4 linked regions of the Callithrix jacchus genome follow. The protein of the gene in region 1 purifies or fractionates together with the protein of each later gene. This does not show direct contact. Links are inferred from orthologs where the notes say so. Each region holds a gene or a part of one and is shown in the gene's direction. Other genes may lie near its edges.

What was found.
Region 2: the proteins of BSG (region 1) and SYMPK purify together in Homo sapiens (co-immunoprecipitation; 3 studies listed by BioGRID and IntAct, counting the BioPlex papers as one, with this or other methods). This does not show direct contact. The link is inferred for Callithrix jacchus from reciprocal best matches to the Homo sapiens genes BSG and SYMPK.
Region 3: the proteins of BSG (region 1) and ATP2B4 purify together in Homo sapiens (affinity purification with mass spectrometry; 3 studies listed by BioGRID and IntAct, counting the BioPlex papers as one, with this or other methods). This does not show direct contact. The link is inferred for Callithrix jacchus from reciprocal best matches to the Homo sapiens genes BSG and ATP2B4.
Region 4: the proteins of BSG (region 1) and GNPAT purify together in Homo sapiens (affinity purification with mass spectrometry; 3 studies listed by BioGRID and IntAct, counting the BioPlex papers as one, with this or other methods). This does not show direct contact. The link is inferred for Callithrix jacchus from reciprocal best matches to the Homo sapiens genes BSG and GNPAT.

Annotation. Positions count from the first base shown.
Region 1 is NC_133523.1:534,033-538,856, forward strand, and holds part of BSG (basigin), read left to right. Parts: intron 1-2,298; coding exon 2,299-2,646; intron 2,647-3,621; coding exon 3,622-3,778; intron 3,779-4,370; coding exon 4,371-4,453; intron 4,454-4,573; coding exon 4,574-4,710; intron 4,711-4,824.
Region 2 is NC_133523.1:39,974,124-39,978,947, reverse strand, and holds part of SYMPK (symplekin), read left to right. Parts: intron 1-603; coding exon 604-705; intron 706-3,888; coding exon 3,889-4,076; intron 4,077-4,824. UniProt on the Homo sapiens protein: Scaffold protein that functions as a component of a multimolecular complex involved in histone mRNA 3'-end processing. Specific component of the tight junction (TJ) plaque, but might not be an exclusively junctional component. May have a house-keeping rule.
Region 3 is NC_133520.1:30,691,171-30,696,503, forward strand, and holds the start of ATP2B4 (plasma membrane calcium-transporting ATPase 4), read left to right. Parts: upstream 1-1,690; 5' UTR 1,691-2,111; intron 2,112-2,823; exon of another isoform or gene 2,824-2,972; intron 2,973-5,333. UniProt on the Homo sapiens protein: Calcium/calmodulin-regulated and magnesium-dependent enzyme that catalyzes the hydrolysis of ATP coupled with the transport of calcium out of the cell. By regulating sperm cell calcium homeostasis, may play a role in sperm motility.
Region 4 is NC_133520.1:53,563,763-53,567,575, reverse strand, and holds the end of GNPAT (dihydroxyacetone phosphate acyltransferase), read left to right. Parts: intron 1-287; coding exon 288-387; intron 388-471; coding exon 472-565; intron 566-1,236; coding exon 1,237-1,298; intron 1,299-2,291; coding exon 2,292-2,335; 3' UTR 2,336-2,594; downstream 2,595-3,813. UniProt on the Homo sapiens protein: Dihydroxyacetonephosphate acyltransferase catalyzing the first step in the biosynthesis of plasmalogens, a subset of phospholipids that differ from other glycerolipids by having an alkyl chain attached through a vinyl ether linkage at the sn-1 position of the glycerol backbone, and which unique physical properties have an impact on various aspects of cell signaling and membrane biology.

The DNA of each region.
Region 1 (4,824 bases):
GCCATCTATAGCTCCTGTGGGCTTGTCAGACTGGAGGGCCCCAGTGTGCCGGCTGGGTCCCAAGGGCAGAGGGCTTCACCCCTGAGCCTCCTATGGGAGGAGTGGGAGTGCCTGGCTGCAGCAGGTGGGGTGGGGAGGGAGGTGCCCGCAGACGCCTCCCAGAGCTGTTTTCTCTGGCTTCTGTCAGAGTGCTGCAGTGGGTGGGGAGGAGGGCGGATGGGGGCGGGCGGCCGGCCTTATCCTGTGGGGCTGCTTGTGTACCACGAGGCCTGCCTGGCCCTGAGCCCCAGCCTGGCTGCCGAGTGGGCAAGGAGGCGGTGGCTGTTTTTAGATGAAGGTGACTTTACTTGAGAACATGGGTTATGGGTCATGTGGCCAGAATCGAATGCTCACCTTTCTGGGGCCTGTGGCTGAGAGTCAGGCACTGCCCCTCCTCCTAGTGCTCCTGAGTGGAGGCTCCTGGCATGGAGGGCGGGTTGCCCGGTGGGGTGGGGGGCTCTCCAGCGTACCCAGGAGCCTCTATGGAGGCTTTCTCCTCCTGTGGCCCACACTAGTGGCACTTCAGAACAGACACCAGCGCCATCAGCAAACGGAGGGCCCACGGGCGGTTGTTCTGTCCAGAGCCTTTTGGTCCCTTTGGGAGTGATGCCGTCCACCCGCTGAGAAGGTGGAGGACCCAGTTGCAGCACGGTCACCGGTGCAGACGGCCCCTCAGAGCCTTGGACTTCGAGGCACAGGCTGGCTCGGTTTCCCACAGGACGCCTGGGTATTCCCGAGGCTGGAGGCTGGATCACAGGGGCCTCTTCAGGGCCTGGGGGGAAGGTGGGTGGGGGCAGGTTGGCTGCAGGCCTCCAGCTCCTCTGCTCTGCCCCGTGCCCTGGCCCTGCCCTGCCTGAAGGTGGGGTGTGTTGACTCAGGAGCCAGCCCTGCCTTAGCACCCCGGGTGAGGACAGTGAGGAGGATGTGGAGGGCAGCTTCGCAGGGCCTTAGGAGGAGGAGGAGGAGGAGAAGGAGGGGGCCACTGTGGGGCCGGAAGGAGCTTGCCAGCCGGGCTGCCTCTGGCTGCACTTCCTGCCCTGACTCGCCTCGCCAGGCTCTGCACGTCGCTGCTGTTTTGCAGTCTGGGAAATGTAGGTTACCAGGAGGGGACCCTTTGTGAAAGTGGCACTGCCAAACGTTGTTAATTGCTCCTGCCTGGAGTTCACCTCAGGGGGTCAGCTGTGAACATCCCCTGTCCCTGGGGCCTTGGGGCCCATGACATGTGCACTGCTATGCAGTCTCAGAGCTGTGAGCATGTGTGTGTGCCTGTGTGGTGTGTGTCTGCGGACGTGTGTCCTTGAATGCATATGTTATAGCGGTGTCTGGGAGCCTGACCTCAGAGGGCATTCTAGGAGGGGCTGCACAGTCCTGGCAGGAGTTGCAGGTGGGTGGGGTGCGCCCATTCCCCACTTCCTCTGAGTGTTCTAAGACGGGCTGCACGGTCCTGGCAGGAGGTGGCGCAGGTGGGCGAGGCATGTTTACCCTGGATGTTCTAGGGAAGGGCTGCACAGTCCCCGCGCCTGCTCCCCGTGCTTCCCCAGGGCAGGGCAGTTCCTGGCAGGCGGGTGCCAGGCACAGTGGGAGGGTGCGTGTGGATTCTCCTGTGCTCCTTTCAGCTCCGGGGCCTTCCCTTCTGTTTTGAAGGGAGGAGTGGTGGTGGGCCAGTGGTAACGGTCCCTGAGGCACTGCCGGCTCCGTCTTCCCAAATCCTCTTCTCTGGGTGGCTGCCCTGAGATTGCTGAGGACACAAGCACTTTCCACCCGCAGGCCGTCCTAACAGCCTGAGTGGGGCCTCCTGGACAGAGCCCCCTGCCCCTGTGGGCTTTGGGATTTTATTTTCTCTGCAGCTCACCGGATCTCTCGGGTCAGGGTATCGGGCAGAAGGCAGAGGATGCTGCCCTGGGGACCGGCAGTCTGGAAGTTGGGGCAGCCATGCCCACAGTCCTCTGACAGAGAGGCCCTTGGGGCTTAAATTCCTGGCTGTTCTGCCCAGTTTCATGGGTTTTGTGTTTTAAGCTACGTGTGGTTCCTCATTTATGCCATCAGAAGCCAGTGTGTCTGCTGGGAGGGTGGGAGTCAGGGGGGCGTCCACGGTGGCTCCCACGGTCTTTCTCATGCGCTGCCCTTTGGCAGCCCAGCCCCGTCACTCTCCCACAAGCCGAAAGGAAGCAGCTTCCCCCCAGCCCTGGCCAGGAGTCCTGTGGGCGAGGCCTTCCCCAGGGCGGCACTAACGAGGCTCCGCGCCCGCTCTCCCTGCAGCTGGCTTTGTGCGGGCGCCACTGTCCCAGCAGAGGCGGGTGGGGGGCCGTGTGGAGCTGCACTGTGAGGCTGTGGGCAGCCCAGTGCCGGAGATCCAGTGGTGGTTTGAGGGGCACGGTCCCAACGACACCTGCTCCCAGCTCTGGGACGGCGCCCGGCTGAACCGCGTCCACATCCACGCCACCTACCGCCAGCACGCAGCCAGCACCATCTCCATCGACACGCTCGCAGAGGAGGACTCGGGCACCTACGAGTGCCGGGCCAGCAACGACCCGGACCGCAACCACCTGACCCGGGCGCCCAGGGTCAAGTGGGTCCGCGCCCAGGCGGTGGTGCTAGTCCTGCAACGTGAGTGGCGGGCGCCTCCCTCCCCGCCTCCCTGGTTCCCTCCTGTGCCGCTCCTGCTGATAGAACCCAGACGCCTCCTGCCCCTCTCTGCCCTGCTGGGCCCACCACTGGGACAGGGGGGCCCAGACCTGAAGGGGTGGACTCGCCCTTGACCGCCAGCGCTGGGCGACCTGGCTTGGGGCGGGCAGAGCTCTGCCTTCCAGCAGGTGGGTCCTTGTCCTCCCTCGACCCTGCACTGTCTGTGCCGCCGTCCCTCTCTGCTCCCCCGGGCGCCTGCCTGGCTCCTTTCCTGAGTGTCTGTCCACACTGCCAGCCTGAGGGGCCCTCCAGCCTCAGTCCAGGCTTGCTGCCCTCAGAACCTTCTGTGTCCTGCTCAGCGTCTCGTCCTAAGGGATTTTCACATTCAGTCCTAACCGGAACATTGTAAATTAACCAAGAGATTTGCTCGATGGGGATTGGCAGGAGAACCGGGTGCTCCCAGTGCTGCAGTGCCGTCAGCCTGGAATCGGGTGGATGGGGTCACCTGGGAGCCCCATCCAGGGGCAGGTCTCCACCAGCGGGCATCTGAGGGGCCGTCGAAGGAGGCAGCCTTGGCCAGGGAGGCAGCCTTGGCCGGGGGGCGATTTGGCTGTTTTTTTCAGACAGAAATTTCCAGTTTGTGCTGGGGCTGCTCAAGAGCTCTGTGCCCTGGTCCCTGCTCAGGGACGGGGTGGGTGCCTTGTCTGTCCCGACACCTGGGACCCAGCCTCCTGTGTCTCTGGACAGGAGATCACTGGGTGGGGCCCATCAGCTGCCAGCAAAGGCACCTTCCGGAGGTGCAGCCAGATGTTCCCCTCGGGGTGTCAGGGCCACGGTGTAGTTTCAGAGCCGAAAACAAGTCGTTCAGGGAGGAGCTGTGGGTTCCTGGGTGTCAGGCAGGCAGCGCGGGCTGTGCTCTTCCACTGTGTGCTGACTGCGTCTCCCCGGGCCTCGCAGCTGGGGCAGTTTCCACCTCCGTAGAAAACGTCGGCTCCAAGACGCTCCTCACCTGCTCTTTGAATGACAACGCCACAGAGGTCACCGGGCACCGCTGGCTGAAAGGGGACGTGGTGTTGCAGGAGGATTCGCAGCCTGGACAGAGAATGAACCTGGAGTGAGTGCCGGGCCCCGCGACGCCACTGCGTGGCCTTCTCACCGCTCTCTTGCTGCCATCGGCCTCTGTGGGCCGTGAGAACAGGCTTGATCCAGGCGGAAGTTAGGGATGAGATCTGCTCAGACCCCCAGAGGGAAGCCCCAGGGAAGGTCCTGAGGGACGCCCCTGGGAGCTAAGCTTGTTGCTCCCTTGCCAGGTCCTTGGCACACGTGCAACTCATGAGCGCGTGCTTCTGACACAAGAGAGTGCCACCCTGAGGCCTGCCCTTTGCGGACCCCAGACGCCAGCCACCATGGCTGGAGCCTCGTCATAACTGGGCTGGGGCGGCCCTGGGAGCACAGAGCCGGGAAGATGGTCACAGGGTATAGGGTGCAGAGTAGGGACCAGAGGTGTGGGTGCGTCGGTCCGGGGCGGGGGCCGTCTGTTGGTTTTCTCACCGCTTCCCATGGGGTCTTGCCAGCCTGGCTCTCCCTGGGTCTGCAGGAGACCAGGGCTTGTGCTGAGGTTCAGCCTTGCTTTTTCACTGGACCCTGGGTCCTGGGAGGCGTCCTGCAGAGCCGGTACATGGCTCACCCACCTGCTGTGCTTGCAGGGTGGACCCCGATGACCGCTGGGGAGAGTACTTCTGCGTCTTCCTCCCTGAGCCCACGGGCAGGGCCAGCATCCCGCTCCGAGGTGAGTCTGCGGCTAGGGCTGCTGGGCACCACCGACTGTCCACTGCCTGGAGAAGCTGGAGGGGAACGGCCTCTCCTGCGGGCCCTGTGGTTCCAGGCTCCTCTCTCACCCTCCTGTCAGGGCCCCCCCGAGTGAAGGCTGTGAAGTCGTCGGAACACATCAACGAGGGCGAGACGGCCGTGCTGGTCTGCGAGTCCAAGTCTGCGCCTCCCGTCACCGACTGGGTGTGGTACAGGATCACTGACGCTGGGGACCAGGTGAGGAGCTGAGGGGCCGGGGCAGGGGGTCCCGGGCTCAGCCCCCAGGACCAGGTGAGGGGCCAGGGCTGGGGGTCCCAGGCTCAGCCCTCAGGACCAGGTGAGGGGCCAGAG
Region 2 (4,824 bases), about 39 Mb from region 1:
AAGTAAGGTAGAAGAGGTTCTTTGCCCCTTACCCCGGTGGTTGGAACCAGAGAAAGAATGGAGGCTGATCTGTTCCACGCAGACCCTGGTGGTTTAAAACACACACATAGACGGCTCTGGTACCATCAAAAGAGCAGCAAAGACCTCCCTACCCCCAGCCTCCTCCCATCCAGGCCCCACGCAGGGGAAGGTTCCAGCCACTTTATGGAAGTCCAGCCTGGCCCCATCCTGCCCTGTTCTGCAAATGCGCATGAGCCCCTGTGCTGCCTTGGTGTCTCTGTTGTTGGTGTCTGTGTTGGGGACTACACAATGAGGTGGTCTTCCCTGCCCTTAGGGGTACACAGCTCAGGGCCATGCCACACTCTACCTATGGTGGGAGTCCCGGATGGGGAGGAGCACACTTTGGTGACCTCAGGCTGCCTGAGGGTACCTGCTGCCTTCAGCGTTCCCTTTTTCTGTTGTCAGTTACTTGCCCTGCTCCAGCCCTGAAAGCAGAGGGTACCTCATCTTTGCTCGCAGCTCCCCCAATCTGAGAAACTCAAACCCGTCTCTTCACTTAAGCAACTGTACTGTCTCCCCCGCCCTTCCTTCTGCCTGCTGCAGGTGAGGGAAACTCGGCCTTGTCCCCCCTGAACCCTGGAGAGCTCCTGATCGCATTACACAACATCGACTCCGTGAAGTGTGACATGAAGTCCATCATCAAAGGTGAGGTGCTCTCCCCACTCCACTGGCCTGGCCCCTGTGGCCCCACGGGCAGGACCTCAATCACCCACATGCCTCCACTGGAATCTGCCAAGTCAACTCACAGCCCCACCAGTCAGCTCTGCAGAGACACCTCCCTTCCTCCCTCCCTCCCTCCTTTTTGTCCCTTCTCCTTCCTCCCTCCTTCCTCCTCCTTCCTTCCTTCCTCCCAAGTTTTACCCTTTACAACCCCGACTTTTTCTGCCTCTGTCTAAGGCACTCTGACGCACCTGCTGTGGGCTGGCACAGAGTGGGCCTAAAGCAGTCGGTAGCCACGGCCCTCGCCCTGAGGAACAGAAGGAAGCAGGGCACACCATGAGTGGTAGTCAGAGGTGCTGCAGCAGGGCAGACCCAGGGCTCCAGGGCACTTGTGGGCTGGGGTAGATGAGGCAGGAGAGCTTGCCTCCACGGCAGCAGGGTCAGTGACAAACTGGCTAGCTCATCATGGCCCACACTCACTGAGCATGCTCTGCACTGGGCTCTCCCTGAACGCCTACAGGCCTGAGCGTGCTTGTCCTCGAATGTGCCACCTGGTGAGTATGTTCAATCCCATTGTGTAGACAGGGATTGGAGGCTCCAGAGAGGTTAGGTGACTTACTCGGCCTCGCAGAAGCTAAGTGGTGTAGTGGAAAAAACAGAATCTGAAGTGAGATGGACCTGAGTGGGAGCCCCAGCTCTGCTGGTTCCAGGTCTGAGTACCACCTCCCCTGAGAGTGCCCCTCCACCCCTCCCTGAGCAAGGTTTCTGGGCCAGGAGCCATCCTGTCCCACGGAGCTGGACACCCTCACTATCGCCTTCTCTATTCCAAAGACCGCTGTCCTTTGATTCCTCTTCTCACCCTCAGACCTGGGGAAGGGGCTTCCTCCCTGTGCCGCTCACTTCTATGCTCCAGCCTGAAACAGCTTTTCAGTGACTTACTTCCTAACCTTCCCCGCAAGTTCTCTCAGAAACTTTTGAAGTCAAGAGAGGAGCTTATGGAAATGTCAAACCCACATTAAAACTGAGCAGGGGCCAAAGCCGGGGGAGACCAGCAGGGAGGAGAGAGCTCCAGGCTCAGAGGCCAGGGCTATGGTCTCACATTCCCAGACCCCTTTGGTGATCTGCGGGCAGTTCTACCGTTCCCAGGACAGTATGCTCATATTGTTTGCATACAATTTGAGGGGATTCACACACACACACACACACACACCCCAAGACCATTTGTGGACCCAGATTCTCCTAGATGCCCTGAGGAGCCTAGGCCCAAGGAGAAAGGGCCTTGCCAGAGGTCACACAGGCGACCAGGAGCCAGGTCCCTGGAGGGGTCGGCAGGGCCTACCCTACACAGCCCCACCTTTTTCTTCCAACACGCCCAGGCCTGCACACTGCGGGCTAGACAGTCCTCCAGCTGGTGTCCCCAGCACCCAGGCCACATTTTCCCCCTGCTTGGGCACCAGCAGATGGCTGGCCTCACTCTCAAGGTCACGAAGTCCAGTCCTTTCCTTGTGCACTGTTTGCTCCCCCATAGACCACCCTGTTCCTCTGGAGAACTTGTCTATAACTAGACCCACTCCTGGTAGTCTGTTCCAGCATTAAGAAAACTCAGCATCTCTGCTCCCCCATATCCATCCTGGGTGGTTCTGGGGACACGGGAGGGAGAGCCCCAGCCCTGTCCTTCCAGGGTGTACAGTCCAGGGAGGGACACAGGAAGTCCCTGGCCAGTAACAACTGAGGAGTGTCCTGAGACTGGGCAGAGGGGTGACCTAATCCAACCTGGGTGTCGGACATCAGGGAGGTCTCGAAAGAGGGGACCCTTGGGCTGAGACCAGGGAAGGACGAGTAGGCAGGAGGCTGCAGGGACCGAGGAGGCGCTCGCCAGCTGGTTCTGGACCTGCAGTGCCAAGCCTGGTGACCTAGGGGACAAAGGAGGGCCCTGGTCTAGAGAAGAGGTCAGGCTGTGGCCACTGGGGAGGGCGCCCCTGGGGGCTCTTGCAGGTCAGGTGGGAATTTGGCCTGTCTCTTGAGGGTCTCTGGGAAGGGAGTCAGGTCTGATCTTTCCAAAGCCCCCTGCAGGCTATTGTATGGAAAGTTGATCAGAGGCTCACGGGAGGCACAGCTGACAGGGAAGGAGGGGAGGGGTGATTCTGGAGCCTTTAGGTGGCTGAGTGGGCAGCACCAGTGACCACCTGGCCCTGAGGAGGAGCGGGGCTTCCTCGGTTTCTGGCAGGTCCTCTGCCACTCTCTGCTCTGCCCATTCAGCCTCGTCCCCACTTGTCTATGCCTCCCCCTCCCTTAGAGGTCCCACCCCTGTTCTCTGTTAGCCTCTCAAGGATTTTGGGGGTTGTGGGGGGTGCTCTTCTGGCTCAATAAAGACTTCCTGGTTGACACTCACATGGCAAGTGGTGTTTGGGGAAGGGCTTCAAAGGCAGCTCCTGGGGCCTCTCATTAGCACAGTGGATTGGGGCATAGCCACCCACCCGGGGAACAGACCCCAGGGCCTGCCTTCGTGGGTGCTCGTGCTGTGCTAACCCTCTGGGTCCTACTGGTACTGGCACTGGGTGTTAAGCTGGGGGCTCATTGTATGCCCTGGCTCCAGTCGCCTCTTGTCCCTCCCTTCACTATTACTCTACTGATTCTACCCTTATTCCCCACACAGACCTTGGCCTGGCACCCCCCATCTTTCCAGCACCAGCGCAAGCCCTGTGTCCCTGTCAGGAGTGGGTGGGCAGTTCCTTAGCCCTCTGCTGAGCTGGTCTGTGGATTGCTGTTCTCCCTGGAGGGGCTGGTGGAAGCCAGTGGCTGCCTTTTCTCCCTAACAGGGGTGGGGGGCCCTGCCACTCCCCCAGGGCTTGGCAACACATCTTTCCCAAAGTCATCCTCAAAGAGAGGGTGTCACGGGCTCCCTGTTCCACTCACTGTGGGGCTTCCTGGAGTTGAATGTCTTCTCCCTTGAACCAGGCCTGCAGGTTTTCCAAGCGCGGGGCTGCAGTGTGTCTTCTGCTGGGTCAGGGGAGTCTCCTGTCTCCGCCGGGGACTTTAGAAGTCAGGGTTGGCTCTTCCCCTCATGTGGGCAGACAACAGGGCGGGGCTCTCAAAGGGTGCTGGCGCTCCCACCTCCCAGGGGGCAGCTGGGCAGAGAGGACAGGCCCACTCTCCGCCTCCTCGCAGCCACCAACCTGTGCTTTGCGGAGCGGAACGTGTACACGTCAGAGGTGCTGGCCGTGGTGATGCAGCAGCTGATGGAGCAGAGCCCCCTGCCCATGCTGCTCATGAGGACCGTCATCCAGTCCTTGACCATGTACCCCCGCCTGGGGGGCTTCGTCATGAACATCCTGTCCCGCCTCATCATGAAGCAGGTAACCCACCCCCAGCTACCCATCCCCAGGCTGCAGATGGCAGCACACCAAGCTGACAGAACTCCCCTTCCCCTCCTGACCCCCAAGGGAGCCAGGTGGAGGATGGCTGGCTCTGCCCTGCCTCCTGCCAGGAAAATAGCAGTGCTCCAGGGTCTATGACTTGGCCAGCTCCCAGGTGATGAGGGAGGGCAGCTGGGTGGTAGGAGCGTGGTAGCCTTCAAGGAGCCTACACTCAGGAGAGACATGGCCGCTCCTCACCCCCAGCACTGTGTGCTGGGTCAGGATGCATCTCCGAGCTGACACATGGTCCAGGTTTTTGAGGGGTGCTAGAAATTTGGGCTTTAGAAATGCCCTGATTGAGTCCAGGCGTTATGGCTCACACTTGTAAGCCTTTGGGAGGCCAAGGCAGAAGGTTTGCTTGAACCCAGGCGTTTGGGGCTGCAGTGAGGAAGAATCGCCCTACTCACTGCACTCTAGCCTGAGCAACAGAGTAAGACCGTGTCTCAAAAAAAAAAAAATTACCATGATGAAACAAAAAACAACCCCATCTGCAAGCCCCAGACTCGATTTGGCCTCTGGGTTGCCACTTTACAACATCTGGCTTAGAGGTTATATGTGGATTCAGACAGACCTGGGTTCAGATGTGCCCCTCCTTCCTCATTTGACCCTGGACAGGTCCCGCACCCCCACGGACCTCCGCTGTTTAGCAGAGCTAATATCGCCCCCTGGAGGCTGCCGTGAGAATGTC
Region 3 (5,333 bases), on another chromosome or scaffold:
CCAGCACTTTGGAAGGTGGAGGCAGGCAGATCACCTGAGGTCAGGAGTTCGAGACCAGCCTGGCCAACATGGTAAAACCCCATCTCTACTAAAAATACAAAAATTAGCCAAGTGTGGTGGCACACACCTGCAGTCTCAGCTACTCAGGAGGCTGAGGCAGGAGAATCACTTGAACCTGGGAGGCAGAGATTGTAATGAGCCAAGATTGAGCCACTGCACTCCAGCCTGGGGGACGGAGAGATACTCCAACTCAATTTAAAAAAAAAAAAAGAAAGAAAGAAAGAAATGGGTAAGAAAATGAAGAGAAAAAAGAGGACCGAAATGAGAGAAAATTGGGAAGGGTGCTAGACAGGGGGAAGCCAGACTCCCTGGGTCTAATTCACAACTCTGCTTCTCCATGTGCATGTGCCTCTGCTTCCTGGGACAGGGATGACAGCAAAGAAGGACAAAGGTGGTGTGAGGTGTTGGGTTAGGGTGACAGGATCAAGGAGACCTTTTCTCAACCCTCTGTGTAAAAGGTTGGGAAGTAGTGGCCAGTCACCTTCACAGCATAGCTCATAGCTGTAACCTGTGGGGTATGTGTCAGTGTGCCTTCTGTAAGCAAACAAACATGAGTGAGTGTGCTTGCTGAGGTCGGTGTGGGAACCTGTCAGTCGATGAGGTTGTGTTGTTGTGTGAACCAGCTGATGGTGCGTGTTTGTGCTTGAAAAAGCCATAAAGTTCTATGCAATGTCTATGGGTGGCACTGTTGCACAATGCTGGTGGGTGTGTGGGTATGGGGGTGTGATTAACAGTTTACAGGCTGTGTCTAAGTGTGCATGGATGTCTGAGTGTGTGCAAATTAAAATGGAAATGTGTGCCGGGGTATGATACAAGTACAGGAGAGTACAAGGGCTTTGAAGCCCGTCTGTCTTGGCCTTGAATCGTTGGCTCTGTCATTAACCGATGTATAACCTTGGGCCAGTCACTCAATCCCCAATTTCCTCAGCTAGGAAATGAGGCTAATAATAAGTACCTTTCAAGATTGCCGTGAGGACTAGAAATGATACTGTATAGACAAAACTTTTGGTGTCATAAAGGGGCAGCAATTTCCATGCACTGTCAGTATACCTCTAGTGGGTACAGGGACAAGAGGGAACAAAACATGACCTGTATGTGAGGTGTGAGGGAGGAGGGGTGCGTGCATGCGTGTGCGTGTGTGTGTGTGTGTGTGTGCGCATACAAAACAATTTCTTCTCCTTCTCCAAGGAGCCCCTAGTCAGACAGGAGCAGGAAGGTGGGAGGGGACATACAGGTGTCCACGGACTCCTTGGGTTTCTTGGTCCCGGATCTAAGTGAGTAAGGGGTGGAGAGGCCAGTAGGAGCTGCAGGAAGCCAACCACAGGCAGAAGCTTCCTTTTTTTCCCCTCCGCCCAGCAACCGTTGAATACCGCCACCCACATCCACTCCCTACCTCCACCCTCACACCTCCTCCGCCCCTACTCAGCTTTCTTTTCAACAAGTGAGGGCCAGAGCAGCAAAGAAAGCTGAGGGGGGAGAGGATTCCTCCCCTTTCTCTCTCCATTCCCCCTTAAGACGAACCAGGAAGCAACTGCAGGAATCGGGCCACCTTAACAGTAGAGTAATGGTTTGGCCTCGTGCCAAGTCCCACCTCTGTTCCAGCTCCCGCTCCTCCCCTCTCTCTTCCCGCACTGCCTGGGGAGAGCTGGTGAGCAAGAGTCTGGCCGGAGTTAGCTGGAGCTGTTGCCATGACAAGCATTTTCTTAAGAAAGCTCCGCTGTTGAGATCGTCCAAAGCTGGGGGCTGGGAGGGGGGCACGAACTTCCTGGGAAACCATCCCTCTGAAGAGAGCAAGATCAGAGACCCGCCTAGCTCCCCTGCACCCGTTTTCTTTCAGGAACCTGAGAGGTCCTTCCCATTGGAAGGGCAGGGGGAGGAGACCCAGCCCACTCCCCGGCCTTAGCCGGAAAGGCAAGAGAGCAAAGCCAGCATCTCTAGCTTGGTTGCCACACTGGGGAGACTGGTGGTGGTCACCCCACCCTACCCCCATCCATGGAAACCCGGAGGGAGAGTCCCGCGCGGAGAAACCTGGATCTTTGCTAGAAAGAGAGGTAGGCTTGCAGAGAATGAATTGACTTGTGATTTGCAAACTTTGTTTCTTTCTTTTCTCTCAATGGCTTCTAAAACTCCCAGGTTTTCCTCTTTCTAGCATGTTTCATGCGACTGGTTTTGGAGGGTTTTTAAAAATATGTGTGTGTGCAGTGTGTGCACAGATTTGTCAAATACTGTTTTACCTCTTATCAGTTCTGAGAAACCATGTAATGGAACAAGTGATCTTTTCCTAGTTCTTGTCATTCCTGGGCTATGGGGTTAGAGGAATGGAGGCACTCTCTTTTTGACACCAAAATTGAGCTCTTGGAAAAGACATTTATCTCCCCTCCTTCACCCCATTCTGTTCCTGTCCTCCCCTTCCCCCTTGGCTTGGGAATGGGACGCAGGATGGAAAACTGTTGCAAAAATATTTTCCGTGTCTGTTCCCTTTCTCGAAAGCCCAAAAGAGAGATGGGGGAAAAAGGGGGGGAACCAAAGAAATCTTCTGCGGGAAAGAGGGGCTGCAGCGGGAAGTAGGGGAGGGGCACTCTGGGGCCGTGGGGTGGAGGTGGGCTGGGAGTTGGAAGGAGCGGGGAAGGACAGGGCACAAATGAAATTTCTTTAGCTTTGCAGAGAAACCTCAGCAGTTTCTCTGTGCTGCTTGCAAAACATCCTCAGACTTTCACATCTATAATTAGCTGTGGAAAAAGCTGGGAGTTCCCTCGTACCGCTGTTGTTTGAGTGTGTGTGAACGTCCAGAACCAACTGTATGAGTGTCTCCGAGGGCACCGCCCCATACATCGCAGGTCCCAAAGGGGAGGAAGGAAGGAGAACGGTGAATTGAAAAGTTTCCAATTTCGAGGCTGGAGACTGTGGGGCTGGTGAGTGCTCGGTGGACTGGGTGGGCCACAGGCATCTGTGGGCGAGTCCCTGAGCGTCTTGGGTCACTGCCGTGGCTAGCCGAAGAGCTAGGAATTAAGGCCGGGATTGTCCTCCCTTCTCTCTCTCTCACGATCTCTTTCTCACACAAACTTGGCTCGCTCTTGGTAGAGGGGGCTGCTGGCTTCCTTCCCCGAGTCCAGTCTGACCTCATACACTCCTCCACCTCCCTGAGGGCACCGGCTCTTCTCCAGCTGGGTGTGGAGGGCGCAGGAGTGGTCAGCCACATCATGGGAGAGGAGTGGGCACTGCTGTCCAGAAGCACCTCCCTCCTGGGCATTCCTGCCGGACTTACAATAACTTGCAGACCTGATGCCGGCGCCTGCTGGCTGGGCAGGGGGAATGTCAGATGAAGAAATAGGCCGGCACTCAACTGAGGCCCCTGTGGGTCGGGGAAGGGCGGAGGGAGGGAAGGGAAACAAAATCCCATTCTGCAGTGCCCCTCTCCTCAGGGTGAGGAGTCTGGGAATCTAGAGACCCTGGCCCCGCTCCTTCAGCTCCTCCCCAAGCTGCCCCTTCTCCAGCCCTTCCCATTGGAGGCCCTGCTGCAATGCACCGCTCCACTCTGGGCCCTCTACCTGCAGGAAGGGAGGAGACCAGGGTCATTCCAGGCTGGGCCAGGCCCAGGAAAGGAGCCTGGGGGTGACGAGGGGCTGGGCCCTTAGCGTTTAGGAGCTGGATCTCCTTCCTCGGCCTGGGTCTCCCCCACAAGCAAGGTCTCCCTCCTTGGCTGAGGGTGATGGCTTGGGGAGCAGAATCTGGGAGGGCAGGAAGGACGGTGGCAGCTTGGTAAGGGATGTTGTGGAAGGTGGGCCCTAAACCCTGAAGCAGAGAAGTCCGTGCGAATCAGGCTAGCCGGGAGGAAACACCTGCTTTCAGGCCCAGGGCTTGGAGGAGTGGTAAAGGCTAGAGCTGAGAAACTAGGGGAGACGGAAGCAAACGACTTGTCGGAGAGCTCATCTCGGGGCTGGGGAAGCAACAGGAACCGATTTTCATTTCGAGGTGTTGATTGATCTGACTGCACCCCCAGGCTGTAGGCTAGACAGCTCTTCCCCACCGGCATTCTGGTCGAGAAGGGCCTGAGGCCTTCTCCAGTGGGCAGGGACCCACAGACCGAACGCCCGTGTTCTGGAGGGAGGGGATCCATTTCTTTGCGCCTCGGGAGTCCCATCCTCCCTGCCACCATCTTGCTGAGGTACAACTCCAAAAATCACGCCGCTTCCGCAGCGGCCTCCTATCGTGGGGGCCCACAGTGCCACTATTCCTGCAGCCGGCCTTCCTATTTTCAGGAATCTGATGAGGGGTCGATGCTGAAGGGCTCGGGGACGGCTTCTCCAGGAAGTCGTTATTTAGCGCGCACCGGGGTACCTGCTCCCGCGGCTTTGAGCCCGGGGTGGCGCCCAAAGAGGGAATCGGCTCCCGCGGCCCCAGCCCTTCCCCCGGGGCTCGGGGCCGGATCGAGTGCGCGCTCCCGGGGCCCCTCCTCTCTCCGCGGCCTCTGCGACCCCGCCCCGCCAGCCTCTCCGCCGCTGGGCTCCACCCTCCGGGGCTCTGCCGTAGTCTGAGAACTCCGAGGAGAATGCGCTCAGAGCTGCGAACCGAGGCTTCCTGCCTCCCAGGTCGTGCCGAGCCCCAGTCCCTTCTCCCTTCCATTTACCACCACGTCTCGGGATTCAAGGTCAAGTGGGAGGCGCGCAGCCCGTCTTACCCCCGGGAGCCCAGCGCCCAACGCCCAGCGCCGAGCCTGGGACATTAGAGCTCTGGGTCAGTGCGCGCTGAGAGAATAAGGGCAGTTTGGGGGGCTTTGGAATCAGCCTGATGCCAGCGGGTTCCTAACCCGCCGTCCGGCCTCCACGGTAGAGGCGACAGGGCGTGGCTAGGCAGATTTATCACATTGCTGTGGTCAGTAGAAAACCAAAAATAGGAAGGCCCAGTTAGGGGCGGAAGGAGAGCAGTTAGAATTTGCTGGGTGTGGGTGCTGGAAGAGGTAAGGCACGGTGTAGGGGCTGGACGTCCTGGGCCAGGATATCGGGAGGCTTTACTCTTACCCACTCCCACTGACTGGGAGGTCCCCAGAGGAACAGGGGCTGGGCTGCTCCCTGCCACCTGTCAGCAGGTCACACCTTCCACCGGAGACCGCCTCTTACTCAAGGATTTAGTTTCCCTCCAAAACTCCAGAACCCAGATGGGCTCTTTTCTCTCTTGTTTTTCAATGCTCCCGGCAAAGACATGGATCAGCCCTCCCCACTAGGAAAGAATATTGCGGACCCACTAAGCATTGGACAGAGGAAAGGATCTTGTTC
Region 4 (3,813 bases), on another chromosome or scaffold:
GTTACTAGGCTGATGGTAATTAACTTGTACCCCTTGAAGAGAGAAATTATACTTTAATTAATGTTATTATTTTAAACCTTTTTCTAATTGTAAAATGTATTGTAAACTCAAAGGAGATGTCCTAAAAATTATTTGGTTTCTCTGTGCTGATTCCTTGGAGGGTCTTTATGCTGCTCTGCTGTGATATGTCATTCTCTTAAGAGGGGCAATGTAAAGTTATTTACTGTTTATTGTCTTTTTTTTTTTTTTTCTGTTTCTGTTCCTCTCATCCTTCCTCTTAAAATCAGATAATTTGCAAGTACCTTTTGAGTGAAGAAGAGGAGCACTTCAGTGAGAAACAGTACTTGGCCGCAGTCAGAAAATTCACAAGTCAGCTTCTCGATCAAGGTCAGTCACTGCTCTGTGGGTGCTGATTTCCTTTAGTTGAGAACAAAAACTGGTCAACTAACTCTTCCTCACTCCTGATTTTAGGTACCTCTCAATGTTACGATGTATTATCTTCTGATGTGCAGAAAAATGCCTTAGCAGCTTGTGTGAGGCTCGGAGTAGTGGAGAAAAAGAAGATGTAAGTGCTGTACAAGATTCCGTGGGTGCTCAAGAAACAGGGAAACGAATGACATTTCAGCAGAAAATCCACAGAGACATAGAAATGGATGATCCAGGAAACGTTATATTGTACTTTACTTATCTATCCCCTAATTCATTAAGTCAGTATGAGTTACCCTGAAAATTATACGTGGTTTTGAATAGAAATGCAGTTGAAGCAAAGAAAGAAAGTACTTTTAGGCCAATATTTTTGCTTTGACCTAATGTTGAAATTTATAATTACAAGAAAGATTTTTGGGAGTGGAGTGGGCATATGAGTGTATACATACATAATACATATATAATAGATAAATACATATGTAATACATATATAGATACAGACATGTGTATGTATATAAACATATAAATATGTGTTTATATGTTTGAATAAACATATAAACAAATTCATTCAAGGGATTGAATTTAACAGTGGTAAAGCTTAATATGTAACCTCTGGCAGTCATGTCTCTTAAGTGGTCAGAAGAATGAAGCAAGCAGCCGGGAGGTGGGACAGGAGCCCGAGGCTTTCGACTACTTAGGACTGGCCTTGGGGAAGGCAGTTGAAAACAATAGCTACCGTCAGGAACAAAATAGAAAAGCTGTCTTTTCCCCAGAGTTTATGTAATAATAAATCTTGTTATCTTCTCCTAGAAATAATAACTGTATATTTAATGTGAATGAACCTGCCACAACCAAATTAGAAGAAATGCTTGGTAAGTGCAGTTTAATAAAATACGAGTTTTCACATTTTGTTATCAATTAAAATAAGAAAGTATGCTGTGGAACCAAATACTTTATCAAAATGATCAGTAAGTAGTAGGTTTCTAACATAAACAGGGAATTATAGTGTAGCATTTTCTCAAGGAAGCTAAAGAGAAAATGCAAAGAAAATTAACAAAACACAACAGGCATGAAAGAAGCAGTCTTACACAATAGAAAGAGTCTGTCCCTAACGTGACTGATCTCGGCCAGAGGCCCAGCCCCTTCACATCCTTGCCTCGGAGAGAGCGCCTCATTTTCACCCTTTGTTTCATGCCCTCACTGTCTTGCATTGCTGCTTTTCCAAGTGAGGGATTAGGGTCAGTGTCCCTATCACATAGACTTTCTGAACTCAGAATTAGGGGCTGAGCACATCCTTGTGGGAATAATCCAACCCTTCCTCTTCTCTAGAGCCTATCAGCTACAAAGAAATAGTCCAGCCTAAAAAACAGTCCTTGAGTGTTGCCTTCCTTGACAGTAAGAGTCCTTGAGTGTTGACATAAACACAGATACAGTCAGAGGAGATGAAAAACACATTTCCTAGCAGTGATGGGGCCATTTTAGAAAGGAGGTTGTTAACATTTGGAAAAAATATCTGTAGATTATATTGAATAGCACAGTGTCCTTGAGTGGATCATCTTACAAGTACTGTTTTTGTGATCACAGGAAGCAGATGTAATGTGAGCGTGAACATATTGGACTGGTAGTTCAGAAAACATGACAGGGTTCAACTCCTAGCCCTGTGGCTCTGGTCACACCGTCACTTCTTGGAGCGCCTACCGCTTCCCTTGTGGAGGGGGCTAGTGTCCCCATGGGTACTGGCCAGTCTGTACAGCTCTGCATAAGTGTCCACTGTCTCCCTGGGCAGTCGTTTAAGGAACAGCTGTATGAAGAAGGGCAAAATCAACATCATTTCATGAGATACATCTCTTTTTTTTTAATCTCAGGTTGTAAGACACCAATAGGAAAACCAGCCACTGCAAAACTTTGATAATCGACAAATAGTTATGGAAAATTCAGTCACGTACTTACTGTCATCAAAGGACTCATTACAACAAACAGGGAAATGAAGGGAGAGACGCGCCTTCTCCTACTCCCTGAGACTTCGAGAACAGTGGATGCAGAGGGAAGAGACGATCATTGGAAGCAGTCAGTTTGCTCTTCCCCACCACAGTGGTTAAAGGCCTTTGTATCCAACACTGTGTGTGTGTTTTAAAATAAAATAAGCTTTTGGAAACATGTTTGGAAAAGCAAAGCTCAGCTCCTGTTTCACTAACACTTTTCAGCTTACCATATGTATTAAATTTTTACATTGACTTTTGAATGAAGGTATGACATCAGCACTGAAGCTCTGGATACTAAAAGAAAACTGGCCCAGGCGAGGTGGGCAGATCACGAGGTGAAGAGATTGAGACCATCCTGGCCATCTCTATTAAAAATACAAAAATTAGCTGGGCGTGGTGGCACACACCTGTAGTCCCAGCTACTCAAAAGGCTGAGGTAGGAGGATCACTTGAATGAGCTCAGGCTGGAGTACAGTGGTGCGATCCTGCAACCTCCACCTCCCAGGTTCAAGTGATTCTCCCACCTCTCCCTCCGGAGTAGATGTGACCACAGGTGTACATCATCATGCCCAGCTGCTTTTGTTTTTGTTTGTTTTGTGGGGTTTTTTGGTATTTTTTGGTAGAAATGGGGTTTCACCATGTTGGCCAGACTGGTCTCAAACTCCTGACCTCAAGTGATCTCTCCATCTCGGCCTCCCAAAGTGCTGGGTTTACAGGCGTGAGCCACCGCACCTGGCCAGATCTACAAAGAGCTATTGAAGAAGCTTACCCTTGAGAACACACCTTGCTTGCATAGGAGTTTCAAGAAGCTTGAACTAGCATCTTTTGCACTGTCTGGAACAAAACCAGATGGAGAACAGCTCCTGGGAGTTGGGAAGTGAAAGAGACCTATTAGAAGCTATTGACTATGAAACAGCAGGAAGCTTGGAGGAAAGAATATAATTATCTCAGGGGAAAGCAAATGGATTTGGGATTCAGTAAATCCTTTGCTGTTTCCATGTCGATTCTTAAGGCTTGAAACCTATGCTTTATTTGGAAACTGGGCCATTTAAATACGAGAACAAGTAAGAAACAATTCCACAAATAGTTAATGCATAAAAATAAACTTAGAACATGTAATCCTACTTCCACTGTGTTCAGTGGAAATGAGTTTTTCCTGCTTTGATTTGACAGCAAAGACAAAGCAATGTGTTCAGCTTTATTTTATTTTATTTATTTTTATTTTTGCGGGGACTAAGTCTTGCTCTGTCGCCAGGCTGGAGTACAGTGGTGCCATCTCGGCCCTCTGCAATCTCTACCTCCCAGGTTCAAGCGGTTCTCCTGCCTCAGCTTCCCAAGTAGCTGGAACTACAGATACATGCCACCACACCCAGCTAATTTTTGTATTTTTAGTGGAGACAGGGTT